Linked DNA regions of Struthio camelus. The protein of the gene in region 1 interacts with the protein of each later gene in a pairwise test. Links are inferred from orthologs where the notes say so. Each region holds a gene or a part of one and is shown on either strand. Other genes may lie near its edges.

Evidence for each region.
Region 2: the proteins of GOLGA1 (region 1) and PDCL2 interact in a two-hybrid assay, tested with the Homo sapiens proteins (2 studies listed by BioGRID). The two-hybrid records come from large-scale screens. The link is inferred for Struthio camelus from reciprocal best matches to the Homo sapiens genes GOLGA1 and PDCL2.

What each region holds. Positions count from the first base shown.
Region 1 is NC_090961.1:1,280,121-1,295,530, forward strand, and holds the start of GOLGA1 (golgin subfamily A member 1), read right to left. Parts: upstream 6,319-15,410; 5' UTR 6,236-6,318; intron 5,858-6,235; 5' UTR 5,681-5,857; coding exon 5,546-5,680; intron 4,371-5,545; exon of another isoform or gene 4,252-4,370; intron 4,159-4,251; coding exon 4,068-4,158; intron 3,072-4,067; coding exon 2,997-3,071; intron 2,539-2,996; coding exon 2,441-2,538; intron 1,894-2,440; coding exon 1,861-1,893; intron 1,120-1,860; coding exon 991-1,119; intron 696-990; coding exon 526-695; intron 101-525; coding exon 1-100. Other genes in the region: protein SCAI, read right to left, coding at 12,452-12,601, 13,756-13,856, 14,048-14,221. UniProt on the Homo sapiens protein: Involved in vesicular trafficking at the Golgi apparatus level. Involved in endosome-to-Golgi trafficking. Mechanistically, captures transport vesicles arriving from endosomes via the protein TBC1D23.
Region 2 is NC_090945.1:56,482,099-56,497,483, reverse strand, and holds the start of PDCL2 (phosducin-like protein 2), read right to left. Parts: upstream 5,663-15,385; 5' UTR 5,550-5,662; coding exon 5,544-5,549; intron 3,285-5,543; coding exon 3,164-3,284; exon of another isoform or gene 3,109-3,163; intron 1,640-3,108; coding exon 1,549-1,639; intron 1-1,548. Other genes in the region: NMU (neuromedin-U), read right to left, coding at 7,243-7,278, 9,092-9,145. UniProt on the Homo sapiens protein: Essential for male fertility, spermiogenesis and acrosome formation.

The DNA.
Region 1 (15,410 bases):
TACAGAGAACTGCTGAATGACAGTTTGTAGCTCCCGTTCTCTTAACTCCAGAGCAGTGATCTTATTTTCCGCATTTGTCTCAGCTGTCATTAATTCATCTCTTCACAGAAAGAGAATAAAGAAGTAACACAATGTGCCAGAAAAATAAACTTTAGCAAATAATTCTACTTTTTATGCAAATGGACCAAGAAACATCAACAAGACTTTTTTGATGGCTAAAACCAGCCACTGTGTTGACTACACACTTTAAAAGTAAGGGTTAAGTATTAGGTACTATAGAGCTCCAAACTAGGAAAAAAAAAAACATCATAACAAGTTTACTAAATCCTACACAAGTTATTACTTTAATTGACTTGAGAAGAAATAAATAAAAATCTGGCATGTACATCCACACCAGCATACTAGATGCAATTATTCAATCAGTTCACTGCATATATAAACTCTTCCAAAAAGACTGAGTTGGGAACTAAGTAAAAATACACAGGGAATAAATACACTGCTCCTCACAACACACCACATCCATACCTCTGTGCCTCTAGCTCCAAGAACTGCTGCCGCAACTCTTGAAGATCTTTTCTTAGGCCTGATGACACACCACTTGTATCCTGAAGCACCTCTTTAGTGTGAGTTAGTTCTCGAGTGCATGCCTCTAGTTCCTGCTCTGCTTTGCTCAGAGATTCTTCCTTTTTCAAAAGCTGAGTATTAGAATGTTATATTTGACAATACAGATAACCCAGTAATATTGATAAAGACTTCTCATTTAGACTTATCTCCTTTATTAAGTTATGAGCTGAACTAAATGAAATAACTCCCAGGAAAGGCAATGTTGAAACAGTCTCTGTAACATTGTACGTGTTTACATTCTGGTAGGATTTTGACGCTGAGAAAGTCTGCACATAAGCATCAAGGCTAAAAAAAATTATTGCAGTGCTACCACTAACTAGGTATCCTAAGAGAAATTTTAAAAGTCATGTTTAAAAATAATCTTACCATGTGTTTAACTTTGGCCATCTCCTGCTGTTGAAAGCCCTCCAGTTCATCAATTTCATCTCTCTTTTGAAAAAGGTTTAAACTCTGCTCCCTCATTTCTTGTAACTGCGTTTCCAGCATTCTTTTTTCCTGATAAACCAACAAAAACAAGGAATCCATGAATATCTGCACGTTAATTTCAAGTCAATGGGAGTTTAGTTACGCTCTTTGGAAAAGGAATCTTGTCTTAAAGGCTCTCTGACAGTACTATATATAGCAGTAGGCAACGTGGAGTAAATTATTGAACTTCAAAAATCTTCACAATGTTGTCTTTATTACAGTGCAGTCAAGTCTCACTTTAAAAAACAGTATAGATAGGTAACTCAAGCATAACAGTATTACAGGTAATTAACCCTTAAAAAGTTATAAATTTACAGCCAATAGTAACATGTTTAATGTCTTCATAATCAAAGATATTTTAAAAGAGACTGAGCTAAACAGCTGTAACAACTACAGCAAAACTGAATTCATTTCCTTAAAAAACAAACAAACAAACTACCAAATAGGGTTGCTTATTTTATGAAATAGAAAACTTACTGCAAGACCTCAGACCAAGTCACTAATTCTTTCTGCACCCCAGCTGCTCCTCTATAAGAAAGTAAACTCTCTTCCACCTTACAGAAGCACAATGCCTTTCTCCCTGCCACCCCTCATTCTCTACTTGCCCATTCAAAACTAATTCCAGAAATATCTTCTGAAGTAACAGAGCTGGTAACGAAAGCCTATCTCTGGCCTCAGTCATTGAGCAAAGATCACTTAACAAGAACGGATGAACAGAGTTGAGTCCCAGAAAGTGTACAGATCAGTGTTTAAAAATCAGAACTTAATTACCTTTTCAACTTGACCCAGTTTTTCCATCCATTCCTGAGTGAGAAAAATAGAAGAAAAATAGAAGAAAAATCAAAATCCATTTATAGACTTTTGAAAACTGCAGTTATAGTAAAAAAAAAAAAAAAAAAAAAATTTGTACTGTTAACAGATGTTAAACCATGGTAATGATTAAAATGACTAAATTTTAAATGACTAAAATAAAAATAACAATAAGATTTAAACATAGAAAAACCTGAGGAATCATTTACGTTACTTGAATACCTAAGCTTTACGCAAGTAAAATAAAAATGACAACAGTTCTCCTGCAAAGGAATCTTACTAAATACAAAGGTGAGCTTACCTTTATACTAGAAACTTTTGAGTGGTTTTTTAAAATCGGCAAGAACACTCAGAACGACGACAAGTCCTTTGACGTTTCTTACATTAGCACTTAATGCTCCATCCTTTCTTTGACTTCAGCAAAGTAAGCAAAAGCAATACAGAGCAACTATTTTCATTAATGGTGACACCTCCTGACTACATCAAGATCATGCACTGCACAACTGGTCAAAAGTTCAGTTGTTCAAACTGTAACTATTACCTGGTCCTTTTTTTCCAAGGCCAAAGCCATTCCTTCAGCCATCTTGGCTCGGTTGGCCTGGTGAGCTTCATTCTGCTCCTGAAACTTCCTCATAGAGGCTGTCAACAAAGAATCACCAGCTTTATTACAAGGCCATCTTTTTAAATCACTTCTCAATTTCCTATGTTATTTATAAATTTAAAGAGCTTCTTACCCAAGTAATTAGCCCCATCTTGACTCTCTAGCACTGATGTTGTGCCATTTATTATATTACATTACACATTTGCTTGTACATTAGACAACTGCCGGAAACGACAGAAGACATGAGTACTGTTCCTCAGTGCTTGGATTATAACAAGGCTGAAGGTTTCAAAAAAAATCTCTCCCACACATTAGCCACCAACTTGGCAAAGAGATTAATGACAACTTTGTTCAGCAGCCAAACTATAGCTTTTTTTGCAACCTAGAGGTGCACAATTTGAAAGTAAATGCATTTAAAACAACCATACAAACTCATTTCTTTCCATCTGCATTTAAAGCATAACAGTTTTCAACTGAAAAAAAAAAAAATACGTACAATCCTGATGCTTTTCTAATGCATTTTCAAGCTTCTCTTTTATCTTCTGCAAGTTTCGGATCTGATCAGCATAATCTTGTGTGAGGAGGGAGAGGCACAGACCAGGAATGGACAGACATTGGGGAAGGAAAAAAAAAAAAAAAAAAAAAAAAAAGAAAGGAAGAAGAAAAAAAATGAGTGGAAAACAACAATGATTGTCTCAACTAGAAAATCATTCCAGTTAGGGAAAACTTGGGTGACCACAAAAATGAAGACAAGCAAATACTGTCTATGCCGTCCATGGGGTATGCGGTTGGCACAAACAGGAGGACCTGACCTAGGTGTGCTAGTTACACAATAAAGGGCAGTAGGCCTGGCACCAGAGAACGGAGAACTATTCCCACCTTTTACTTCATTCAAGAACAGTGACTTAATTTAAGAGACATTTTCTAAAGAGAAATAAAGAGTGAATGAGAAGACACGGGAATTCAAAGCAGCTTTTACTTTTGCTCCATAACACGCTTCAACCTGGACTCCGATCCACTCCATGCAACAGGGATGGAAAGCAGTATCAGAAGTCCTTAAAAGACTTTTACAGGACAAGGCATGATTGTAGAAAGAAAAACAGCGTCAATGTTGTTTTATGCCAAATCCTTTGCTTTTTCTTCATTTGGGAGTTTATCCTTTTGGGAATGTTTCTGTCAACATCAAAAAGCATACATCTTAACAGAAGGGAGCTGTTCTATTTTCCAAGTAAGTAAGAAAAAACAGTGGGGAAAGGAAGATAGCATCAAGTGAAGACTCTTTCTGTTTGAAACACAGGGACAGAAAGGTATCCCAAATGTTCAAAAGAAACGCACAAATGTTGCGAAGAAATCAGTGGAAAAGAGTCAGTCAGTCAATCAATCTTTAAACTTTATACAGTTATCTTTACTGGAAGCTACCTAGATGACAGTCAACCATGTTGTTACAAATTGAAGTTTTCTGGAAAAAAAAAAATCTAAAAACATTTTTTGATAAGTTAAAACACTTAAGTTCAAATGAAACACATTTCCTAAAATAATAAGGTTTTATACAAACCAAGACACATACCGGACAGTTTGACCTCCAGTTTTCTTATCTGTTCGTTTCTTCTCAACAACTGGGATGAAAGATCCTCCCTAGAGCTGCTTCCATCAGAAGCCTCAATAGAAAAACAACATCCATGTAACTTACAAAACTTAGAAAAAATGATCCTGCCATATACTAACTTTAACGATAATGAACACTATCCCACCTAGGAAGGACGCTTTCATTTTTCACGAGGGGAGAGTTGTACTAGCACAGCAGAATGTACAAAAGATGCTGAAGAAGAAAAAAAGCAAGAGCTTAAATGGTCAGCTCTCCAATGTGGGCCTGTTCCGTGAAATACAAGACTTTTAAAACCCATAGCTGCAAATTATTTGTTCAGACTGATCACTGAGGAGACAGCATAGCAGAGCGACTGGAAAAAGGAAAAATTAGGTTATACAGTACACATTCTGGGATGAGTCCAAGTGAGAGGAGTCATTTTGGAAAACTAAGTAACTGGAAGAAGGAAAAGTAATACTTTTCACGTTGAATAAACTCCCTTAAGCACTTATCCAATAGTCATTCCATGCAAAATCCACTGCATAGCTAACATATGTTTCTCTATAGTTTTTTTTTATAAAAATCAACATTAAGAGCAAGTAAATGGGAACTACTAAAATAACTCATTCTTGAAGATAGAGTTTTATTTATATATTTCATATATATATCTCTATATACACACACACACACACACACACACAGAGCGAAAGAGAATCATAAAGGGACCTGCTGTGCTAAAGCAATATAGCATGTATTAGCTGTTAGCTCCAACAGCAGTGCTACACCATGACTTAACCCAGGTTTTGAGAAATACAATAGCCATCTACGGGCAGAGGTGCCAGCGTTGTAGGGTTTCATTTAACCCACATGCAGCTATAATTATACAGCTTGCTTAAACAATGCTTCATAATGAATCAAAGTTTAAACAAGACAGAGGAACCAGAACAGTTTTACTTGCATGCAACAAAATGGAATATGCTTTCTTAGCGGTTACATAAACAATATGCTCAAGCAGCAAGTGTACCAGCAACTCGAGAGGCAAACACAGGACCAAATCACTGCTAATCAGCATCCGGCTTCCTTGTCTGCTGCTTCAGTACTTACTTCTGTAGGTAGGTGTCTTACACACTGCTAAAGGTTTATTCAGTATTTTCCATCTGTTTAACAATGGTCTTCATTGAGATAGTTTTGTAACTTGCGTTTAAACATAAACTTGCGTTTGAACATAAGCCTCCTAGTAACTACTGCTATTAATACATAAATATTTTCTTTTCAGTAGCTAGTTTCTTTTCACTGAAGCTAGTGATTCATCTACACGTTAAGCTCTACACCTACATAAACGCCCTATCGCATACCGGAACGCATACGCGGCTCACGCACCGGACTTAAAATGGTCGCCTGCCAACCCGCACTGGAAAGGCTGAAACAAAAAGCAAAATTCCAAGCAAAGTGCAACTCACAAAGTCGTCTCCCGAGTCCGCTCCCATGGACGCAATCGACTCCTTGCTGACAGACCTAGGTATCCTGGCAGCTCCTCCCGGGCGAGGCGCGATACCTGCCTCTTCCGCGATCTTCTTCTTCAGTTTTGCAAACATTTTACTGCTCTGCAGCCCCGAAATAGCCAAGTATTTGGCAAAGCCGCTCCCTCCGGCACGGCTAGCGCGCTGGCGCTCCGCGTAGAGCTTCCAGACGTCGAGACTTAATTTCGTGCCTCATCCACTCAGTTTTATTGCCTCTCTAGTTCCATTAAAGCCTTCATGGCCTAACAGGACCTGCACGTTAAGGAGATAAGGTTTCCGTACCGCGGCTTTCCACCAGTTTTAAATACCTCCACGCAACCGAGCGCCTTTTAATTCCGTGCGTGTCGTCGCACACTCAGAGCGCGGAGCAGAAGCCCTGCAGAGCTCCCGCCGGCCGCGAAGCGCGCCCCAGGCGGAGGCAGCGGGCCCGGCCGGCGGCTGCCGAAGGGCCCGGCGAAGCCCCGCCGCCACCGCGCCGCTCCCGCCGCCGCGGCCCGGCCACGGCCGTCTCGGCCCCGGCCCCTCAGTCGCCTCACGGCGGCCCCCAGCCCGGTGCGTGCCGCCGCGCCGCGCCCCGCCGCGCCGCCCCGACCCCCCCCCGCCACCGCCACCGCCACCGCCACCGCCGACCGCTGCCGCCGCTGCCCCTGGCGACGCCGACCCGGAAGCGCCGCGCGGAGCCGGAAGCGCCGCGGGCTGCGCACGCGCGAGGCGAGGCGAGGCGGGGCGGGCATTGGTAGCCCCGCCCCCTCCCCTCCCCTCCTCTCCTCTCCCCTCCCCCCCCCCGTCACGGCCGCCGCGCGCCCCGCCGCGCGACAGCCGCCTCCTCACAGACAAGCGTTTGCCACAGTTTATTAATCGCGAACTCCTTCCATACCACCGGAAAAGGCAAGGTAGTCATGACAACAGGCAAATCATACAGGTTAGCAAACAAGAGCGTTACGTCTGAAACACCACGCGTCTACAGAAGAGGTACAGAGCTGGGGGCGGGCGGGGGGCCGCGGCCCGCCACGCGCGGAGGGGCCGGCGGGGCAGGCGGGCCGCGCGCGGAGCGGAGCGGAGCGGAGCGGCGCGGGAAAAGGCTTTAACCTTGGTCGTGGCAGCAGTAAGCAGGCCTTGCGTTTCGGTTTTAGTTACCGGTACAAACCGACGTGGAAACTAAGGTCTTTATTTCTGAAGTGGAGGAGTAACATCACTTCTCACTTGTAAGCGTAGCTTTTAACTCTTCCCTGAAATTTTCAGCAGTAATACAAACATACTTCTTTCCTCCCAAAGACACCAAAACCAATGGCAGAATATTCTCTGGTAGTGCATTGCTTTGGCAATTCATAGATCCCTTGCAAAAAAAAAAAAAAAAGTCTATTTGCTCCAAAAAGTTTATTTATATATCTCTATATATTTTAAGTAAAATATTTTTTTTTTTTAGCAAAATATGATATACAGGCACATGGCTGTAAAATAACTTTAAACCAATCCACTATAAAATTACTTTTGGTAATAAATAATCTGATACTCAGAGAGGCAAAACACTCCTTTAACCCTTGGTAGATGGACTGTCTGAGACATAGTTCATCTTTCTGTATTTCCAGAATGTCCCCTCCCTCTCCCATCTATTTTTCTTGTACTTCTTGGTGAGCTGCAGGCCAGGGCATAAGCACCTTGTGCTTTTCAAATGCATGAGGCAGAATCCTGCTCCTAAAAATGAGTTACAACTGATAAGTGGTAATAAACAGATGGCAGAAGAAATCTGCAAAGTCAGTAGGGCAGATACTCAACACAGGCTTTTTTTGAAGGAATAATTACTGATATAAGATCCAATAAGGTCTAAAAATCTCTCAAGGCGCTCCTTTGGCCGAGTAAATAGTAAAGTCTGCTCTCAATGTGAAAGCAGGATCTGTAAGAGCAAAACGTCTATGCACACATCAGGGCAGCAGGCCCAGTAATAAGGGTACGTCAATGGGGATGCAGAGTTATTCCCTGGTCTTCTGAAAGAGCTCACAAATTCAGAAATCCTCAACTAGATCTCCTCCTCTGTCTTGGCAGAGCAATGGTTTAGAGGAAAAGTGATGAGAAAGTGGGGTCTGTCTCAGAAGAAGTAGCTTTACTTTCACTCCTAAATATAAACCAGAAGTATTTGTCCGATGCTTCCTCCTCTGCTCTATTTGTAAACATCCAGACTTTCACAATCTTTGAAATAGATTTGGTCCCACAAGCCAAATCGCTCTAGAAGTCAGAGATACTCAGCAATGTAAGAGAGCCATGTCAAGAATATGCAAGTCATCTACTCTGGACAGTTTTGCCCTGTCTTCTGCACCAGTATCCCTCTCAGAGGTTGACGGTGCAGCTTAGTCTGACATTATTGAGTTGCACAGAACAGCTTTCAGCTGCATGTGTTGGACTTTTTCCCTTGTGAGATTACTCTTGCTGTTACTGTCCATGGAGCTCCCTCAGCTACAGGAGCAACTACCAACAGCTACCAACACCGAAGCAGCCACTTAACATAGGATGGACAGGACTAAACATCTGCCACTGCTATCATTAGTGACCTGTAAAAACATTTACTGAAGAAGCTAACATAGATGAAGCTTTACAAAAGAAGTGTCAAGGCCAAAATGCTGCTGAGAGAGATCCCAAGCTAAAAGCTTTTGGGAAAAAGCAGACCAAGCATAGCACGGAGTCATACTACACAGAAGAAGCGGGGCGGGGGGTAATTCAAAACGGCATGCCTGTGGATGAATCTTGGAGCTGTACTTTCATCCCATCCTTAGACAAGAAGCCTGACCAGCGCTACTGAACTTGTAGCTTTTGAAGACGATTATTTGAAGCCTAACTTCCTGTCCCCATCTACCCTCAGTGATCCTTAGAAAGACATCTCCACACTGCTCCCTGTAGAATATTAAGGGTTTTAATACATCATGACCTGATGGATATTATTTTGACAAACTACCCAAACAAACTCTCCTGAAACTTCTCACGAAAGCACTCCAGGGAGCAACTCCACTTTGCACAGCTCACAGAAGTTAGTGCTCCATTTTTGTTGCCACAGAGCAAAATGACAGCGTCCAAAGAGTAAAAACAGAGCTCTAAAAATTCATGGCCCTATTTTCCCCCTCACTGTTATTTTGAGAAGTCAAGGGGGTGGGTGAGGGAAGGCAACAGCACTGACTTTGGCTAGATGTTCTAAAGCCAATTTGAACAGAGGAGTACAAATAGAGATGCCTACCGTGGAAGTACAGTTAATTCAAACATATCACATGCAGTAAATTAGGGGGCTAGGCAGGAGAAGTCCAATAAGGAGACATTCAATCAAGTTCACCTTTTCCTCTCTTTAGATATTACATACAGAATTTACCCTTTTAATTCAGTATTGCCTAATGGTAGCAAGTCTTCTCCACTAACATAAGCAATAAGGATATATGGAGAAAGGGAGAGGGATACAAGAGAGAAGGCATTAGGCCTGAGAAGAAAAGGATCTGTTCTCTCCTCACTTGAAATTGTTCAGCCTTTGCTTCCCTATAGCGAGATCTGCTAGATATATATACCAAATTTTTCTTCAGTACATACAAGTATACATAGAGAAGGTACCTACAACCATAGCACACAGTACACAGTAGCACAAATTTAGAATGACTTAGTAAATTCAAACAAGACAAGCTTTTACTTGGAGGGAAAAGATCAGTGTTTTTATCTTGAATGCAGCTAGCTGCTTTTTTTTTTTTGGGGGGGGGGGTGGGGGGTGGGGGGGTGTCTGGCTCAAAGTCCAAGACCAAATACTCATCTTATCTACAGCTAGAGCAGACAGAAGGTATCAGCCTTTTTCTTATAAAGTACAATTTCTTACTCCTACTGACACAACAGGAGTAAAATCTTTATCTTTGAATATTCCTATCAGCAGCATACCTTTTGAACCAAAGGTCACTAGGTGAGAAGAGAATGTGGGACCTCAAGAATGAATTTTTTACCTGAACAGACAAAGCTGATGTGTTTAGCTTCTGAACTAATTTTCAAAGCCACATATTCTCCTCCATTCTAGCTTCTTTAGTCACTTTTTTTTTTAAGCGCATTCTCCTCTGATTAGATCTACTTAGGTAACAAGCAAACAGAACCTCTTCTCAGGGCTGCATAGTGGCTTAGAGGCCTTGCAGATCGCAAGCAAGAACTCCTCGTCTCAGCCCAGCTAAAACACGATCTAGCGTCTGCCAAGGCTTTCCCAGTCAGCTAGAAGGCAATATTTCACAGAGGTTCAGCAGCCCACACTAAAGGGATCTTTGCTCCTGTGCTTCAAAATAGCACACTATTTTCCAGATGCATGGAACCAAACTGAGAATAGCTTCATCAAAGCAAAAGCTAAAGCAGAACAAAAGCATCTGATTGGAAGGCAGTGAGCTGGGGAAAAATAAGTTCCCCTCTTCCATGCACATTAAACACTGCTGGTGGAGGAACAGCAGGGAGGGTAGCAGATACGATAATCTGTGACTCTCACTTGCTGCTGCTTTAAAGGCTTTCAGTATCTTTAGCTTCCACGTATGATCCCACGTTTTAATAACTGGGGACCTCCTACCAGAAGGAAAGGCAGATCATCAGCTTCACCATTAAGAATCCATGAATCTAATCACTGTCACATACATAGGAGTACTCATAACCCCTAGCTAAGGCTTCCTGTACCCGATTGCAGTTCTGAATTACTTCAAGGACTAAGTGCAAGTCCCTGAAAACAGAATTATAATGGTAGAAGAGCCATAACCTTTACTACAACCACAAAGGATCTGGAACACCTTGTGGAATGCACCCAAAATGGCGTATGTGTGTATATATAAATGTTGTATATAAAGACATTGTACTGTTTCATACTTTTTAATACATATACAAGTACCTATACATATATACATATTTACAATTTACACTAGCAAGTAGATGTATGTGTATTGTACATATACACACAAACGCCTAGAATACACATACACACACAAACACACACTCTTTAAAATAAACTCCACATCCCAGTCCTGCTATAGTCCAAAGAAGAGCAGCACCAAGTGGTGAGGGGCCCAACATACCAGCTTCAACACTGCTCAGAGAAAAATGCTAGCATTCATTGAATTTTTTACACTTGGGAAATTAAAGAATGGAGAGCTTAAGCTGAAGCTACAGCCCAAGATACAGAGAACCTTCACACAAACTTCCCATTTATACTGTGGCAAATCCTGCTGTTCTGTACTACGCCCTGCTGAATGAGGGTCCATCAGTGCCGATTTCTAGTCCTTCACTATTCCAGCTTCTGAGTTGATCATACCGTTGTATTACAGCTTTGCAAACATGCCTGCTGTGATAGTCCCAACATTTTGCAATTTTTTTTCCACCTGACATTAGAGGCATGACTGGGTTGCAACTTTAAAGCACTGATCAGACTTGTCTTTTCACTTCCTTTTCAGCACAGAAACAGTGAAAACAAACTTTTTCTAGTTTAGAATTTTCTAGTTTAGAATAGTTTAGAACATTTTCATTTTCTTTCCTCCCTCAGGCTTCACTGTCAGGAGTTGCAAGAGTTCCTCTAGTTCTGCAAGGAAGGAGGTACAGTCCAAAAGAGTCAGCAAGCACTTTTTCTCCCCACACTCAAAATAGCCTTCTCCAGCAAGTGCCTTTACAAAGGTCACAGTACTCCTTAACCCACCTAGACTGAGCATTTTGGGCTGAGAGAGCCTACAGCACTGCCAAACAGTATTACAGCCCCTCAGTTTTACTGGCTCGAAAAAATGACTGAGATGCAACAATGAGCACTCACAACATTAACGGGGCTTTGTGGCAGCACCCCTTTTTTTTTTTTTCCCCTAACCTCCAAGAGGAGCACCAGCATGTCTGCTAGGGCACAGGGATCCAACACAGATTAGTTAGATAAATGGGTGATAGGAAGGGCTGATATTCAGCACTTTATGGGACACACTTTCAACTCTTGTCAGGAATTGATAACACTGGAGGAGCCACACATTTCATTTACACAAGGAAAGGACAGATTACACCTGGTGGAGATTTAAGAATTTCTATCTATTAGCTCAAAATGAAGAACGCCCTCTCCTCCTGGAAAATTGCAGCAGCAATACAAATGGCACAATGACCCATGTTATGGTGAGAAAGGGGAGCCAAATCTCTTGGTCTTGTAATTCATCAGTCTGCTAGCCATCCACCCAAGCAGGTAGAGTGGAAATTGTCCTTGGCCAGCAGTACAAAGTTTGTATATAGAATTGGTGTGACAAATTTATAGGGAGCATTAAAGCTCTTTACGACTTCATGTCAAACCCACTGCTCCAAATGCAGCTTAATCTACCTCAGTTTTGTCTACTTACTTGCCTAAGACTGAAAAAATATATTTGTTATGAAGGACTCTGTTTTATTGCTATTGTTGGTTTGCACTGTGTGGTTCCATCTTTACCATTTCAAATCCAGAGTCTTTGGGGAAAAAAATATTGTTTTTCTATTGATTTTTTCCAATTTTTTAAAATTGTATAAAAATAAAGGATTTCCACAAACATGGGCTAAAGGTAACCAATAGTACTTCTATGCTTAGGATCAGCTGTTGGAAATGTGGTTGATAGCAGCCACAAGACCAGAAATAAAACTCTAGTGATTCTTTAGTTTAACATTTAAAAGACATGAAAAGTTTCGCTTATAAAAGTGACCCCATACAGAATGGAACAGCTAAACTAACAGCTGTTTATTATTGTTTTTTAAAATTATGGTCCTAAATTTAAAAATAAAATCAAGTACTTCCTTTTATGATTTTCACATTAAAAAACTGCACCATTCAAAATCTGTGACCAGGGAAACCGCTTTGCAGTAAGACAGTCTCTTCTAATAGTCGTCGAGGGTGTTTTCCAGGAAAACATTTCTAACATCCAGTATGGAAGCCAGCTCCAAAATGTGCTTTTGGAGGTGAGGGTTCTCCACAGTTTCATCTCTTGGCAGCTGAGGATAAGATTCTGGATAATTGCGAGTTTCCTGCTAGACAACAGTGAAAACAGAGAGAATCAGACATTCATTTATTTTTATAACCTTTTAGAAGATTGCAAAAGGCCAGTTTCACCTAAGAAGTATCTTAATTTCTTTAACATGCCACATGGAATGAAAAGATCCTAGCAGAAAAAAAAGTCATGTTCAGTTTTCTTTTTCTATTGACTCAAAGACAGTCATAATGGCAATACAAACGTTCACTCCTCTAAGCTGATTAAGTACATTCTCCTCTAAGCTGATTAAGTACATTTGCTTTTAATTCTATATTCACAGAAGCCTTACCAAAAAGAAAAAAAAAAACTTTACACATACTTACCTACTACCGATTTAGGCTGGAGTTCATTTCTTGAAATTGTAGACATGTAAGCATCTCCAGTGGGAGATTCATCTCATCCTAAAACAGATATCTAAGACACTGGGGGCAAATCCATCCCCACTCACAAAAGATCTACTTTTTCCCCTGCTATCAAGGAAGCCTGAGTAGCTAACTTAGGCTTGGAAAACTAATAGATGTCTGCAGTTAGGCAAGATCAGTTCTACTGCATCTTTCTGTGCTTCTACTTTCAGTTTTTCTGTAACATGTAAAGTGGAGCACACAATTTATACGCCAACACTCGCAAGTGTAAAATGATGTAGATCCAGAAGCAGACTTCACTGCTAGCAGTGTTAACCAGCAGGGAGGGGAAATACCGTCTTTCTGTTCAGCTTATTCATTTACACTTCAAAGGCCTTTCAAAATTTACTCACCCTAGAATACATCCCAGAGATAAAGTTTCCCTCCTCTCCACTTCCTCTTATAGTCTCGATCCCCACTTTTTTTAGTTATATAGAAACAATATTCTTCTTGATAACTCAAGATTATTTCTAGCAGAAAAGACTATTCAGAGTGACATAAATGAATATGCTAATGTTAGAATGTGCCTACTACTTGTGTGGTGGAATAAGGCTGAAGCAAGTCAAAGGCTTCATGCTCTATAATAACAAGGAGATAGACACAATACAAGCTGTAGGCATTAGCATGTGAATATCAGCTATCTTTCGCAAGTCACAGTGATATCCGTAGCCGTAAGACCCTTCCATTCTGAGGCAGTGCAGTTCTATCTGCACTGGATTGTTCTCACAAAGAGACAGATTTCCCTGCATACCCGGAAAATTTTGTGCATCCTCATAGTAGCCGAACAGAAGATAAATCTTGTTAGAAGCAAGCGAAGAAATTCATCCCCAAAAAACTGAAGAAAGGACTGATCTGCAGAGAAGCGAACAAAGAAAACTCAGTTCAGAAAGGCTTTAAAAACAAAAAGGACCCTGGGGGAAACCACCATGCATACTTGTGCATTCCCCTTATTCACTATTCTGTCCCTTGGAAAGCCTGAGCAATAACAAGGTGTCGGCTTAAGTAGCATACTAAGCTTCAGTTGTACATCTTTAGGTACATACCTATGGAACGTGAGTGGGTCAGCAGCTGGGCAATATCTCGGTTGATTTTTCTAAGGTAATCTTGACACTTCTCCCACAATCCTCTGCGCATGCTTGATAATCCAGAGACAAATAGGAATGCCATTAAAGGATTGTTCAGAAAGAGTGTGAAGAGGCTACCCCGCTGAGACTGATCTAAAAAAATCAATAAACAGAGATACACGTTTGGCACATGAAACAGAAAAGCTGTCCTGGCTACAGAATGAGGTCCCTCACCCACTATACTCTGTAACAGCAATGCTACTAGTTTGGCTGTGTTATATCTTCTCCCCTCTTGTGGTAGATCTGTTCTCAAGGTGATGCACGTGATTAGCACTAAAGGATCAAGCAGCTGGACCTATATAACCTCCGCAAAGTCTACAGAGTTGTCCTTTTGTTGGACAGCATCACAATGTCCTAAAGCACATTTATTCCGTGTAGTTCAACATGATAGGCAAAGATTCAGGCTTCACCTCAATAAACTGGTATATCAAAAGAAAAAAGTAATGCACATGAGGTCGTGTACCCAAACAGTAAGGCCACTTCCTCCTCAGCACGGCTTACTAACTTGACATTGGTATTGCTTCGGTGCAACCCCTCGTCTTTCAGGATGCAAGCACACAGTCCTGCATGATATAACGCTGTCCTGACACAGGGGCCTAGTTAAGTTCAGCTAAGTCGTCTCTGCACAGGGCTCCAGTGCACAGTGTAGCACAACCTCAGAGCTACATCAGACTTCTGTGACTGGTCACTCAGCATGATATAAGCATCCAGTATTTTGTAAAGAATTAAGCTCTATTTTTCAAAGTTTCTATTTAAACAGGATTCATTGTAACAATACTTATTTTCTACTTAAGTTTCAATTTCTCACACAGTCTCTCATGATACATGCCTAATACCACTCCATATGGCTTAAGCTAGATCTTCATACTTGATTTTGTGATGAAAAGTAACCTTAACATGGCAAATTCCAAGGAGAAAATCTGGAATTATATTTTACAGTAGTCACAAGAACTGAAGAATATAATTTTCATTGCCTGTTTCTACTATAAACCCAGTTTCTCAGGGGATACAAATCCAACAGGCTTCCTTAACTTACCCTCCAAAACCAGAACCAGATCAGGAGAGGATTTTGCTTTACACTTGGCCTTTAAAAGCTGATACCTTAACTGAATGGATAATATAACCATGCTGACCTTCTGGAACTAATAAAGCTACCCCAGGTGCTATTAAGAGAAAAAACACATTAGAATCCCACCACTGGGCTGGCAATTTTTTGAGTCTCAGTGTAGAAGAGAATTTGTCTACTAGCACTTGATGAAACTGTACAAATATCATAACGGTT
Region 2 (15,385 bases), on another chromosome or scaffold:
GAGAAACAAAAAAGCCATTAAAATGAAATAGGAAATGAGGGAAAACAAACATAGAAGTTCTATATTGGGGGTCCAAAGCTAACTCAATAAATATTTTATATCTTATCAGTTTAAAATATAAAAGTTTTATTCCAGCACTGAAATATGGTTTTTGCTTTAATAGCATGCCACCCTGAATTAAAGTCCCTTTGTAGGTAGCATGGACCCCACGTGCACAAATTCAGTACCCTTTGAAAAAATGGGGCTATATGTGCCTCTTGTTTCTCCTCACGCTCTTATGCAATGTGATAGAGAGAGAGATGATGAGAGAAAGGATACCCACAACCGACTCCGTTTCATCCTGATCTGAAATCTACAGAAACTGATATCCAAAAGAAAAGACAAAAAATGGGTTACCAGGTAAGCTCAGGAAGTGCGGGCTAGATGAGTGGACGGTGAGGTGGATTGAGAACTGGCTGAATGATCACGGGTTGTGATCAGTAGCGCAGTCTAGTTGGAGGCCTGCATGTAGCAGTGGCCCCCAGGGGTCAGTACTGGGTCCAGTCTTGTTTAACTTATTCATCAGTGACCTGGAGGAAGGGACACAATGCCTCCTCAGCAAGTTTGCTGATGATACTAAACTGGGGGGAGTGACTGATACCCCAGAGGGCTGTGCTGCCATTCAGAGGCACCTGGACAGGCTGGAGAGCTGGGCGGAGAGGAACCTCCTGAACTTCAACAAGGGCAAGTGCAGGGTCCTGCATCTGGGGAGGAATAACCCCATGCACCAGGACAGGCTGGGGGCTGGCCTGCTGGAAAGCAGCTCTGCAGAGAAGGACCTGGGTGTCCTGGTGGACGACAAGTTGACCATGAGCCAGCAGTGTGCCCTTGTGGCCAAGAAGGCCAATGGTCTCCTGGGGTGCATTAGGCAGAGTGTTGCCAGCAGGTCGAGGGAGGTGATCCTCCTCCTCCTCTACTCAGCCCTGGGGAGGCCACATCTGGAGTGCTGTGTCCAGTTCTGGGCTCCCCAGTACAAGGGAGACAGGGCACTCCTGGAGAGAGTCCAGCGGAGGGCTACAAAGATGATGAGGGGACTGGAGCACCTCTCCTATGCAGAAAGGCTGCGAGAGCTGGGCCTGTTCAGCCTGGAGAAGAGAAGGACTGAGAGGGGATCTTATCAATATGTATAAATATCTGAAGGGGAGGTGTCAAGAGGACGGGGCCAGGCTCTTCTCACTGGTGCCCAGCGACCGGACGAGAGGCAACAGGCACAAACTGAAACACAGGCAGTTCTATCTAAATCTGAGGAAAAACTTCTTTGCTGTGAGGATGACAGAGCACTGGCAGAGGTTTCCCAGAGAGGCTGTGGAGCCTCCTTCCCCGGAGATATTCAGAACCCGCCTGGACGTGATCCTGGGCAATGTGCTCTAGATGACCCCTGCTTGAGCAGGGCGGTTGGACGAGATGATCTCCAGAGGTCCCTTCCAACCTCGACCACTCTGTGATTCTGTGGACATGTACAATAGTCACACAGGCACTGTTAATCTGGCTAGGAATATCTTGCTATACCTGTACATTTCAACAGCTTTCATATCAGCCTCATCAAAGTCATCTTCAGCTTCCTTTAATTCTTTAAGATTCATTCTTTCATAAGGTTTCACTAGAACAAACAAACAGAATGTTAGTCATCTTTTGTTCACTAAAGTGTCTGCAAACACTTTAAATGTCTGTATGAAAATTATTACATAGTTATGGAATTAATGAAAGAAAAAATGTACATGTCATTTAAGAGATTAGTCAACTTTAGTATACCTTCGGGTAAGAGAGAAAAAATAAAATTATTTAACCGTAACTAATATTTACTTGCTTAAGTACTTGCATGCACTATGTCCCTGGATCTAACAACATCTGTACTGGGTTCTACTTCTGCCCAGACCAATTGGTGGGAGTCTAAAAGGACTGCAAAAGTCTAGAAAGGACTGCAAAAGTCTACAAAGGAATGATCAGAGATCTAGAAAAAACAGCCTAAATATAAGTCCAAAAGAACTGAAGTTGTTAGTATAACTGTGATTTAAACAGTGTAGTATGCAGTGGTGTGCCATTCTGCCACTTTTTTTATTTTTGGATATTACATTTTAAAACATCTTTAGGCAAACACCATCCTGATGAACAGCACCTTCAAGAACTTGGCAGAAGCTACTGCTGAAGTCAGAAAGACTATGTGTTTTCCCTGCTGTAATTCGTCAAAAGAACACAGCAGATTGTCAAAGGAATGCACAGAGCTGAAAACTGCTGAACCAACCGTAACTTGCTTCTCAATTTGGAAGTCTGGAACTTGTCAGAAAGTGAGAATTTCTACAACACCTAACACATACAGCCTAAGTAGCTCTACGCAAAGCTGCTTGTCTGCAGGAATAGAGTTGGTACCAAGAGGCACAGTTTTACACAGAGGTGCCACTCCCGGTTCCTACTATGGTTGTAACTACACTTTCATGCTTTCTGTTCTTCAAAGAGAAACTACAGGAAGCCACAGTAACAGTAACAATTTTCTAATACATACAAATATCTGTAAAGGAAAAGAAAATATATTTTTCTTCATGCTCACTTCAGACAGGACACGGATGTTCGCATGCCAATACCTGATTTTGGACAGCAAAGATACTTGATGTACAAAATTGTGATGACAGATATAAAGGACTGTCTATTACATTGGCTCATAAATGGTAAGATTTTTCACAGAAATTAAAAATATCAATCATATGGAGAGTTTGGAATAATGGAAAACAGTTACAGGAAGACAAATATTTTCCCGCTGGAAAGGAGGGAGAGCAGTTGTATTGAAATCCTCATGTTTTTATCAAATTACAGGAGTGGATTACTACCAATTGTCTGAACATGAATCTTGCTTATACTGACTGCTCTTTACTAAAAAGACTATACTGACTGCTCTTTACTAAAATGATGAAAATGAGTTACCTGTACATAATAGAAGTCATAATGTTTGTCAGTAATGTTACTGTATGTTTAATTCAGTATACTTTTTAAAATAACCATCAACTGAGTGAAAATAATTAAAATAATATAATTATTATACAATATTTATGGCTCAAAAAGGATTACTGCAAATACCTCAGCTTGTCAAATGTTGTTCTACTAATGGCACGTATATTTTGACTTCACTTGCCTTCTGCTTCTTTCTGCAAGCGTAAAACCATTTCTTCAATTTCATCTTTTGGTTTTTCTTTTGGAGGAAGAATTCCAAAGTCTCTCAATACATCATTCCATTCAGTATCTTCATTTGGATCCTGTTTTGATATTATGAAACAAAAATAAATTAACAAACTCGTCACCCTTGCCCCTTTTTTAAACCAAAGCCAGCCCTTTTTCATTTTGGCATACAGTAAGGCCATAACAAAGGCAAACCATTACTGAGAGTCTGCAATATCTTCATGGACCACTTTCTAATCTATCTAATGAATTTTCATTTGGCATTTTTCACTTCTGCACAGACAGCAACAAGAAAATAAGAGTAAAAAAAACCCAAACTCTAAATTTAAGCATACATAAACCTATCAGTCTCCAAAATATCTGTTAAAATTTTGTCTAAAAGATATATAGAAACCTTCTTCAGAAAGCCAGAACATCACTCATCTACACATACTTAAAGAAATACAAGTTTTATACAGGCATGACTTTTGTATAACGACATTTAATGACACGTAAAAGCATGCCTAGAATCAGAAAAGAAAAAAAAACTTTTTATTTTAAATGAATGATTAATATTAATGTGTCAACATAAGCTACCTCATATACCACGTTTATTTATACCACAGGACTTCTGCATGTATATATGCACATAGGAAAAGGTGAATAAAAGTTTAAGTTTTATTTTCTCCTTCTTTGGTTGAAAAGTATAACCCATTGGAAAAACTAAAAGAGAAGCTCCACATATAATCATAAACTAGATGGTCACTAATGGGCCTGGCGTAGGAATAACCTGAATAAAGATTTGCTATAGCATAATTCCTAGCATTTATTTTTGTAAAAAATTTTGTCTTACTGTTTGTCTTACTATAAAGTTTTACATTCTTCACCAAAGAAGAATTTTGACTCAGGTACAGTCAGGATATCAAAAAGCCCACAGAACTAAGAGGACTACTCCAGGGGAACCACTGAATAAACAAGAGTGACAAACATGCACTTTGGCCTCCATTACAAATGTTCTCGTGCATATGATTTCCTGACTTAGGTCAGGATTAGATTCTGCTTCACAGAACGCAACTCTTTTTCCCTAGCAGAAAGATTATGAAGGATTATGAGGCATAAAACCCATAATAATCATTAATCCTAACTGGATAAATAAATTTGAAGACCATAGGACAAAAAAGGACTACTGAAACAGAGGCTGAATGTGTGTTTGCCAGGAAAGATTTTGACACTTTGTGTGTTTTTCTGTAAATGTATGTCCTAAAGAAAATCTCTCTACAGTATTTTACTTAAACTGTGTACTTTACACCATTTCTATTTAATGATTACAACCCTCAACAGGCTTGTGAATTGATTAACGGATTGCACACTGGACCTTCTTTCTCTAGGTGCTTTTACATCTTGTAAAAGCAAGAATTGGCTCAAGAATACTACACTTAAGATCACAGTAAACGTAACAGAAACAGGTCTCTGAGGTAAATCTGAACTCCAGTGTCAAGGAAGGGAAAGATCAGAAGCCACCAAACTTTTCACAGTTTTTAATAAACTGAGTTAAATCAACGTTTAAGAGCCTGAGCGTTAACATATCGGTGTAAGTTTGCAGCATATGCACAGAAGAAATAAATTGCGTGTCAAGAACTTCAGCAAGTATTTGACAGTAACTGGCAATGGAGCCAAGCAACAGCAAAAACGAACTGACTTAAAATTGGTTGCAGTAGCGAGAAAGCTGGAGTACCGAAGCAGTATTACTCAACTACTTGGTCACAATCCCAAGCGAGAAAACTTCTCATGCTGCCAGTGATAAAATTAGTTACCACTAGCGTTGCCAGGGGTGATACTCACACATAATAAGTTTGGGAACCCCTAGGCTGGGTAACTTCAATTCTGGAGCATAAATAACACTTCTAAGCTACATTTAAATATTAATCTGCAATTTCCTCTTTGAGTGAGTGACATGATGCTTTACAGTATGCTACATCTATGATCATCCAGCTGCCAAAGTGCAGTACTTTCTTATTCTTGAAGGATATTAATGATTAAGTTAATGGCTAAGAATTCACCGAGCCTCCGTGAGGCATCTGCACGAGAAACCCCACACCAGCTACTCCTGCCATCGCTTCTCCAGACGCCCCGCGGAGGCTGGCAAGGCTTCGCGCGGCCGGGGTCGCTCCTGCCCTCCCTGCCACCTCTGCTTTTCGTCCCCCCTCCCGCCCGTACCCTCGGGCCGCACGGCGCGGCTCCCGCAGCCCGACCGCCTCCAGCCTCCCCCGCCCCGTCGCCCTCCCGTCCTCGGCCTGCCTCAGCCTCTTCCCCCACCCTGGGGCAGCCCGGGGCCGGGGGCGGCCGTCCGCCCCCACCTGCATGGCTGCGCCCAGGCCGCTCGCTCCCCTCACGGAGGCCGCTGCTTTGACCCGACGGGCGGGGGCGGGGGCGGCGGGGCGGCCGTTGGGGCAGGGCCGCGCGGTCGGCCCCGCCCCGCCCCGCCCCGCCCCGCCCCGGGCTAACGGTCGCGGCGCCGCCCCGGGCGGGGCGGTTGGGGCGGTGGCAGCTGCCGCGCGGTGGCGGGGCGAGTGGGGGGCGTCGTGCGCGGCCGGCTGCCCTCGCTCGCTCGGTCCCTCAGACGTGGCGTGGGAAGGCGGGCGCTGCCACGGCTGGCGGGAGCGGTATCGAATAGCTTGTGCGGTCCTTGCCGGCAGGCCGGTAAGCGGTCACGGTTTGCCTCATGGCACACCTCTTGTCTGGCCTTCCGGCAAACTGCATATAACGGGGATTCTCGTTGTGTAGATGTTCTTCATGGAGAGAGTTGTGCTTTTTGAAGCATGACATTTTCTCGTGGCTTTTCTTCCCCGGCTCCCATACTTTCATCATGATGCAGTGTTAGGTGTTGTGGTAGAGCAAAGAAAAATACATGCCATGAATCAGACTTTCTGCACTGTTTTATCAGACATGTGAAAGCTTGGCTTCAGTGTACGTCTTTTTCGTGGGACTGAGTTTAACGCTTATTCAGATAATGAAAGAATAGGCATTTCCAATAAATATGAGGGCAGAATAAGAATATGCAAATGTAAGAGTAGTTGGCTATGTAAATGTGCATAAATATCAATAAAGGAGCTGTAAAATATGATATTAACAAAATAAATTAAGCTGTGATTTTAAAGACAAATCACTTGCAATGTATTCTGAAAAAAAACCCAAAAGACTACATTGCCCACATTCTCATTAAAACAACTCGCTAACTGAATGCCTTTATTTAGAAGGGAAAATAAAAGTACATATCAACAGCGTTAGAGGCAGTGTCTCTTACATGCGAACACTGTGACTTTTTTTACAGGTGCATTACACACACAGTTGTAAACATAACATTAGGAAACAAATTATTTTAATATGCTTTTAATAGATTCAAGAAAGAAAAGAAACATTTGAATTGTTAACTGAATCTAGTGTAAGAACATTTACATTCTAGTGATTTTTGAATTGTACATTAGTACGGAACAATTTTTGTAAGGAAAACAGTATGTCCGTCTACTCAGCGTTCCTGCAGCATTAGTTCTAGATCAGGAATCTAAAATCCTGAAAAATAAGAAAAAGCTTTAGCTTTTGATATGACATTGCACTAAATGCTTAAAATATGATAGAGCTATAAAATGTATTAGAGAAAGAGAGCAGCATAATATAAGCAAAGAAAGACTTGTTTATATCTCCAAAGAGCCAAATAGTTTCAGATAGTTGGATCAGTTCTTCCTGACATACGCTTATCATCATTAGTAATTTTCGAAACTGTCTACAAATCTGGGGTGTTTTCCATTTCTTGCTGCCTGAAACACCTCCGATTTCTTTGTTGTAGGGAGTGAGTACCTACAGCTTCCATTCATTTCCATTTGAGGTGGGAGAATTTAGCAGATCTGGAAAAATCCTTGCAGAAATCTAAGCTCACTGCACAATTAAAGGCTTTCTGGGTTAAATATTGCTTCTAAACATAAATATTTGGCCTATTTGTATAAAAATAAACATATTGAAAGAGAGATCTTAATTAAAAGCATTTAAATAAATACCTGCTTAGTGAAAATCCGCTGATCTCCTTCCATTGCGTGGCTGAAAGACAAATATCCAACAAGCGCTCTATAAAACTGGCCCGTTTCAATAAGAAAGCTCCACAGAACTCACTATATATAGAAATTGGTAAATTTCTCAGTGTTGTCACAGTGATCATCTTTCAAGATAAACCTGAGACCAGTTATCATTTAATGCACATTCACCCCTGGAGGAGAATTATACAGTAACATTTCAGCTTTTAAGACTGGAGAATGAATTATGCCCCTATCGTATGATTTTGTGAGGGAGAAAAAGCCACAAGAAATCACTCTAAGAGACCATTGCCCCTCATTTTTTTTGCATTTATTTAAGATGTACTTCCAGATTGTTGCTACTGCATTATAAATGTTTGTGGCAATTAAAAAATAAGTATATGAAGTCACTCTCAATGATTTTATTTTTATACTGTGTTCTTTAACGTAAGTGAAGAGTTTCTCCTTTTTCACTGTGGTCATTGCAGTAAAATTTTGCACTACCGGGGGACTTGATTCATGTTCTACTAAAGCTAATTAAAAAGCTCTTATTCAGATTAATAAGGATTAGCTGTTCACTCTGATATGGTGAGTGCATCATGGGTTAATTAATTAATTAACCATGGGTTAACATGTTTGATAACTCTGGCCTATCACGAGTACTCTAAGATCCAAGCCTGACACATAAGAAATACAAGTATACAAACATATCTTCTTTTTACTAGTCGCTTTCTTATTTAAACAGAAAAAAGATTAACCAAAATCAAGAAAATCATTATCGAGTCTGACTTGGCATCTTTAACTTAATCCATTTTGTGTAAACAGAACAAAAAGGCTGCACGGCATGAAAGATGGACCAAGTAGGTTCATTCTCCTGAGAATTTTTATGTCTACTTTCCTACCTTACTGATCAAAATACAAGGAAAAGAGAAGGTCGGGTCCAATATCTATCTTGGAACAATATGTAAGCATGGCATTATATTTATGTAGCATGTAAACACACTGTGTTGAACAATGCTTTAGAAGATTTTCAAAGATGCCATATTTTCTAGAACTCTTCTGAGAATTGTATAAATAATAACCAATGCTTTATTAAGAAATAGCACGGTATCATGTGCCTATACTAAGACGTGTACAAAAACTTCTTACTATGGCTTTATCGTAATCATAGAAAATGCCTGGAACAGATCTTGAGACCTCCTATCCATGCCTCATTCCTGTCAGGTGCATGTCTAACATGTTCTAAAACCCTACGCTGCTATGGAAGACTGTAAATCTCCATCAGTCTAGTACACTAGTTAAGTACACCTAGTTCTAAAAAAAATAATTTGCAAATACTTTAGAAATTCTTATTTGGGAATAACAGATCTTAGAATATTGGTTCACTACATTAAGAGGATCATTCTATTGATCTATTAGAGGTGCTATGTCTTTTTAAGATATTTCATTGTTAACATTTATCATAGTGAAAAACGTATCAGTAATTACCTAAATTTGAAGGATTCTAAGCACGTACAATCCCCTTTGATTTTTTAATCCGTTTCTGATACTTCAGTATCACCAAGAAGTTCCAATCTAGCCCTGTTATCCTAATGACTTTACAAATGCAGATGGTGCCATGCAGAATGTACCTTATAAATTCTTTGGAAATTATATTGCTCATCTTCTGCAAAGACAACAAACATCCATAATGGAAATACTTACAGCATGATGCTAATACTGAAAAAAGTAATACACAGTAATACTCGTACACAGTAATTCTTACACTAATTCTCTGATTTCTCGACTCTGTTATGTAACAATTTGAAAGGGAGAAAAAAAAAAAACCAAACAAACCATACCCTGAAGAAAAAGTAGCCTCTACTTTGAATCCCTCCAGGTCCTTGAAGTTCTTCCTGAAAAGTAAAGTATTTCAAATCAGACCTACTCTTGTAACTGCATGCATACAGACAGGTTGTTTCTGTGCTTACTAAAACTGTTAAGTACTACTATACAGTCTTGCCTCTTAAAGTATGCTTGATGTATATTTCTCCATGACAATTAGAAAGAAGGTCGTATCTGCATGTAGAAACAGCAAAAAATACATGAATGAGGGGTAGATTCCACCTGTAGTTCTGACTCAGTGGAAATTGCTTTAGAATTATACCGGTACTGATGAGCAGCCTTTGCCCTCGCCTTTCCAGATTTCATTACTCAGACACAACCTGAGTGTCCCGATAGAAGAAGAATCTCTAAGAACATCCTAGAATTAGGCTTTGCACATCCCAGGAGAATACTGCAAAGCTGACAAAAAGAAATACTTGGTCTCCAGCCAAGCCACAAGATCCCATACTATTCCCAGAAGCATTTCATGATCACCCTTCCCAGATTTAATCCCAAGGAGAAGACCAGTGCCTATGATATTCTATCCTGGTCATGTTGCACACACTGAAAAACAACTCTCTACTGATCCATGCAGCAAGGGGGAAAAAGAACAATAAATTAAGATAGAAATGCCATTGAAATGTAACACGCACAGGGCATAAAGTATCCTCTGGCTTTAATGACATGTGAATGATTAGAAAATGCATAAAGTGAATGGCAGAATTTTCAGCGTCTGTGTTAAAATCAGATGTCTCAGTGAGATGTCTGTCCTGTAGAAGTAGAGACAGGCCAACTTAGAAACAAAATAATTCAAGTCTTGTGCTTAGCAGAACATCATAGAATGGAATTTATTGTATGCTCCCTTAGCAATGATGGTATCTCTCAATTGAAAACTGAGGTCATGTAGGGCCTCTACTGGCTTTACAGTTTACCTATGTGGTTCCCTCATTACCCTATCCAATACTGTTTCTTGGAAAGATAGGATTTTTAGCTTTCCTACAGGCAGAAAATACTTGCATTATTGTTCAAGCAAGTGTTTTCTTAATTTTCTTACGAACTGATTTGACCCTCAGCAATAACATTTGCAGAGAATTTTAAACTCTTATACTAAAATGTGCAGAAATCTGCCATATAAATAAATATGATAAGCATAATGTGGGTGGATGACTTTCAATGGTGTAATTATAACATTAAAATAAATAAGATGCTTGCAAAATATCAAAAAAGGGTCTGCAAAGGAAATGGATTTCAGAAGATGCTAGCATTTTGTAAATGTCTTTAGTATTATGCATTCTACATCATTAAATACCACATTTAATAAGGTAACTGATATTCACAACAGGAATTCACAACAAAAAATAGAAAAAGGTACTTTCTCTGAAAGATATAGTTCAATTTAGAGCTCAGATACAGCCCATTTTTCTGTGTGCTCTAGCTGTAAGCTGCTATATGTATGGAACATCTTCCTGTATTCTCACCAGGATTAGAATCATCAATGGTGCATTTCCTTTTTTTTTTAAATAATGTTTATATTGTTGCCTTATGTTTATATGACTATTTAAAAATAGTTATATGCTGCAAGTGTTAGCCATATAATTACTTCTCTTGACTCTAGTTTTATGAAAGAGAACGTATTTTAGGACTTATTTAATATTACGTGACTCTATTGGCGTTCACTAAGCTCTTCACTTTGTAGGCCAGAATGCCTAATGATCAAATATTTCAAAATAAACAGTCATTTAAAATACATACAGGCAAAAAATCAAAGGTGATTAAATCCACTTGTGATTATTTTACATAATGGTCCAGATGCAAAGGTGGTTAAATCCATTAGTGACTCAGAAGGTCCCTAAGATGAAACTGTCAAAAGCTAGAGGGTAAACAAAAGGACTAATCACTTCACATTCCCCCTGCTCCTTCCAAGCTTTTCTTGTCTATGCACTACAAGTCACTTTTAGATACTGGATACTGGGCTGATGAAAATATAGTCTGATCTGGTATGGCTTTTCCTATTATATCCTTTTTTTTTTATTTTTTTTTTAAAGTCTTACTATGATATGACTGTCACAGGTCTATATTCCGTTCCTCTTCTAACAGATCCTAGCTGACCCTTATTCTACTTTACGATTCTGTCATTTCCTTCTTTTAAAAATTACACCTGGGTTGTATATTTTCAGTCTAATCCAATCATTCATGATAGCACTGGCTAATCTAGAGCATTCCTGTAGCTGTAGCTCATGAAACGTAACTACCGAACATGCCAGTTCAAAGTGCCACACAGTCTGCGTTCAAACTTCTAGCTGTATTTCCAATCCGTACCTAGAAGAACTCAGCAAAGAGCACATGAACAGTCCCACTGAAATAATGAACTTAAGAGTTATGTATGTGCTTAAGTATTTAGCTAAGTTAGTTTAGGAACATAATATAATAGTTGCAAATTAAACAATCAATGCTTATTACATTGCAGATTACTTCAAATTCTAAGTGTTATTATTTCTATGCACTACTAATTATGACTATAAATAGGAAAGAGACTAAAGGCCTTTAAAAATTAGCCATTTAAAAGAAAAGATGATTAAGGAAACACATTATCATACATTCACTTCTAATATAAAAATACAACAAAAATAAGATACTTTTTATAAATGTTTAATAAAAGATTTGCCTTTAGCCACAGAGTTAAATCAGCCTGCTTTGCATTCACTCAAAATGACTATAGTTTTTTTTTATTGTTATTTCCTTTGGAAGAAATATTTGCAAATATTGTTCTAAAAATATTTCTTTTCTTAGTCCTATGTTTATGTCAGTGTATGTTTAAGCTTTATGATAGATAGGTGCTATTTTTTCTTTTCCTAAGGATCTGTACTCGGTAAAGAGTATGGACCTTGATAGTTCTTTGATGTAAAAAATAAGCCTTTAGATTCTATTTCATAGGATGGCTTGGCAGCTCTTAAACAGAAGTAATGTATTAAATTTTATTTGTGATTTCAGTTTTAAATATTATGACTCTCTTAAAATATAAATATGCAGTCACTTGCATGATCTAACTGATATACTCTGCACACTATGGTATTATTATTACTCGGAAAAATATTCTAAAGTTTCTTTTTTGAGCCTGGGTGAGAAACGGTTCGCTAAAAATAAATCTGTCAAGAAGAGGCAAAATCTGATGGAATATGGTAAGTAGGCTCTTGCTTTCAGGTTATTGTCTGTTAATTACATTATTCTATTACCATTAATTATGTCATCAACCTCAGTGGAAATAAGCTCAGAATATTAAAGTATTCTAGCAAAAGGACTTGATTGGATTTAAAAGCCACTTTGTTTTCATATATAATAATTTTGTGCCCTGGCATTTATATTTTTCTTCCCATTCTTTTTCTTATTTGACATGTATATTCGTTTAAAAGCACAAAGAGCAATTACAGGAATATTCTCTGTCAGTGTTTAGCTCCAGGAGTATAAATGCAGTTAAAGTCAACGTCATCACAGAAGCTAACTTTTACCCTGTAATTTCCTTTCAGATGTGTAATGGATTAAAACTTTTTATAACAATTTCAGTTCTTGTGGGAACTGTTGTTTGAGCTGTTTCATGAGTAGAAGTACCAACTCTGTAAGTTCGTATACGTGGCCAGGTTCTGTCACTGGTAGTCCTGTTAACCGAAACTGAAGTCAGTGATAAGCAAAATCTGCCATTAGTTTTTACACAGTTCTGTTATGTTCAAGATTGCTGTAGAAGTCAGGAAGATAGGAAGATAGTACACAGCTAAAAAGCAGTAGGGACTGTTTCAAAAATTGGATCATATTTTTACCTGCCTTTAACTGCCAAAGTCTTGTCCTCTATTGTTTTCTGGGTTAGGTATATGTGTAGGCACTACACTGCTATACAGACATCCATCTCGTTATATTTTTCTGGACAAACTGATTATATGCATTTAGGGTTTCCTTTTTTTTTTTCTCTCCCCTTCCAGTTTGGCTGCAAGTGCTCATGGGGGACCTCTGGTTCACATTCCTCTGCTCCTCCTCACCCACATGAAGAAAAGTAGGGCTACAGTGCACAGCAGACTGAGCAGCCTTCCACTCAGAAAGGCTGTGTCCTGTTCCTGTATGTAAGAACATCCTGGAAGAAAAACATAATCCCTTACACTCAGTGTAATAATGGGAAAAGTCTGACTCTGTGTGGCAAATACAGAGATTTTTATTTCATTTGAAACTGTGATATCATGTCATCTATCAGTGTTTCTCACCTTTTCATTTTTTAATCAACAATTCACCTGATTTTGTTGGAAAAAAAAAAGGAGAAGCACTTAACCATATTGAGAAATAAGTCAACATTCATCTGTCACCACAGTGGCTCATGTTTACAATCAAAGTTAGTCTAAGCTTTGAATTTGATTTACTACTACTGTTACTTCCACCCTTTCTGTTTTTCTGCATGTTAGTTTCTGGGGGATTAAAAAACATTGTTTTCTTTAGTGAGTTTTCTTATGTTTTAAGACCAGCAGAGGTCCACCAGAAACAGACTGCAGAGGACTGAGAAATACTAAACAAGAATATTTCTCCCTTCAAAGAGCAGCCCGGACCAGAAGCCTTTAATGGGTGTAGTAAAGAATTTCCAAAACAACTCATTGTCCTTAAACCATGTTCAGCTGTTATTTGCTTATATGTCATCTACAACCTATATCAAGCACTCAGATGTTACGAAATGTCAGATTAAGGTCTACTGTGCCTCCTTCTGCCTTGCCCACTAGTTCTCTCTGTCCTTGCTAGTAAGAACCAATTTTTTTGCTGGTTCCTCATCTAACCTGAGTCTCTCTTCCTGAGCCATTCATGACTGCAGTACCCCTACTTTCCTTCCAGCTTTTATTTTCAGCAACCTCATTTTTCCTAGTCCTCCAAAACTCAACTCACAATATCACTTTTCCACTGGCAGGGCTTTTCCTGAGATTTTCCTCTGTGCTAAAGTCATATGGGCTGTGCCAATATTGAAACATAATAACTCTGCATAAATTCTAATGCTTTTGATGACATTTTTTCACCATATCACTATTAAATTTTAAAAAATGTATTTTTAAAAATCCATTCAGCCTCAGCTGAGCCTCATGGGCTGAAAACACCTGAGAAAGATGCTTTTTTTTTTTTTTTTAGATGAAATTGTGGGAGTCCAGGAAAGTGCTGAGTAAATGAAATCATAGTCTACAATGAGAAGTGTCAGTCCAGCTTAGTGAAAGATGGCTTTATATACATACATATCTGCACTACTTTTCTTACGTGGTAATGATAAAATACATACGATGGTGCTGTACGGCATCTATGCAAAATTTTCCTCGGTATGAAAATTTGAAGTGTTTCTTGAATCCATTTGGACTTATTCCTTAATTTAACTTATTAATTTAAAGAGATTTAACAAGATGGTACTGTCAGGCAATTCAATATGTAAAAATGAGTGGTTGAAAGAGCTGTGCTCTTAACTTTTTGTCATAACAAATAAATTAAGCAATTTCTTAAGGAAAGCACTGCCTTAATTTTATTCCAGCCGTTGCTGAATTCAGCTCTCTCTTTATTTGTCTACTTGGGGACGCTGATACAGCAACCAGAGGAATGAATCTAAAGCACAATTGCTATTTTGCAGAGGCATCCTGTATGGATAAATTCTTGTTCTTCACTAAACATTTGACTTTGTCCAGATTGTTTTTAATGAGAATGTCCACATGAAAAATTAGTGTGAAAAACGTTGCTGGCTACTTCTTCATCTGGAATTAAGGGCCTTGCCCTTAATTCTGTGAACAGAAATAAGGAGGAGCTGGGTTCCCCACTCCACAGAAGCTTGACTAAGTACAGGCAACGGCAAGTGGATGAAGAGAGCAATGGCTGCCTTAGAAAACTACTTACAACTCCTTAATTCTGTGACAAGGAACTGTATACCAATAGGGTCTGGTAGAAGCTTAGCAATCTATAAGAGCAGTACCTCACTTTGCTGTGTTCCTTTTACTTTTCTGACAAGCATCTATGATGGACTGCAAATGGAGAAGAGCTGCTGTAAGATACAGCTCCCTGTGCTTTACTCAGCGGGGAGGCCCTTGCCTGTTTACTGATTGAAATCAAATGCTGCATTTTGCGTGAGGGATGGAGAACAAGGAGAACAAGCCAGATCTGTACTCATAGTTTCTCTCTGCACCCTGATAAAATTGCAAAGCAAATGACGTCTGATGAAGTGCAAGTTTCTGGGAGCAGTCCGACATATGAAGCTCATATTGTCCAAAATACAGCAA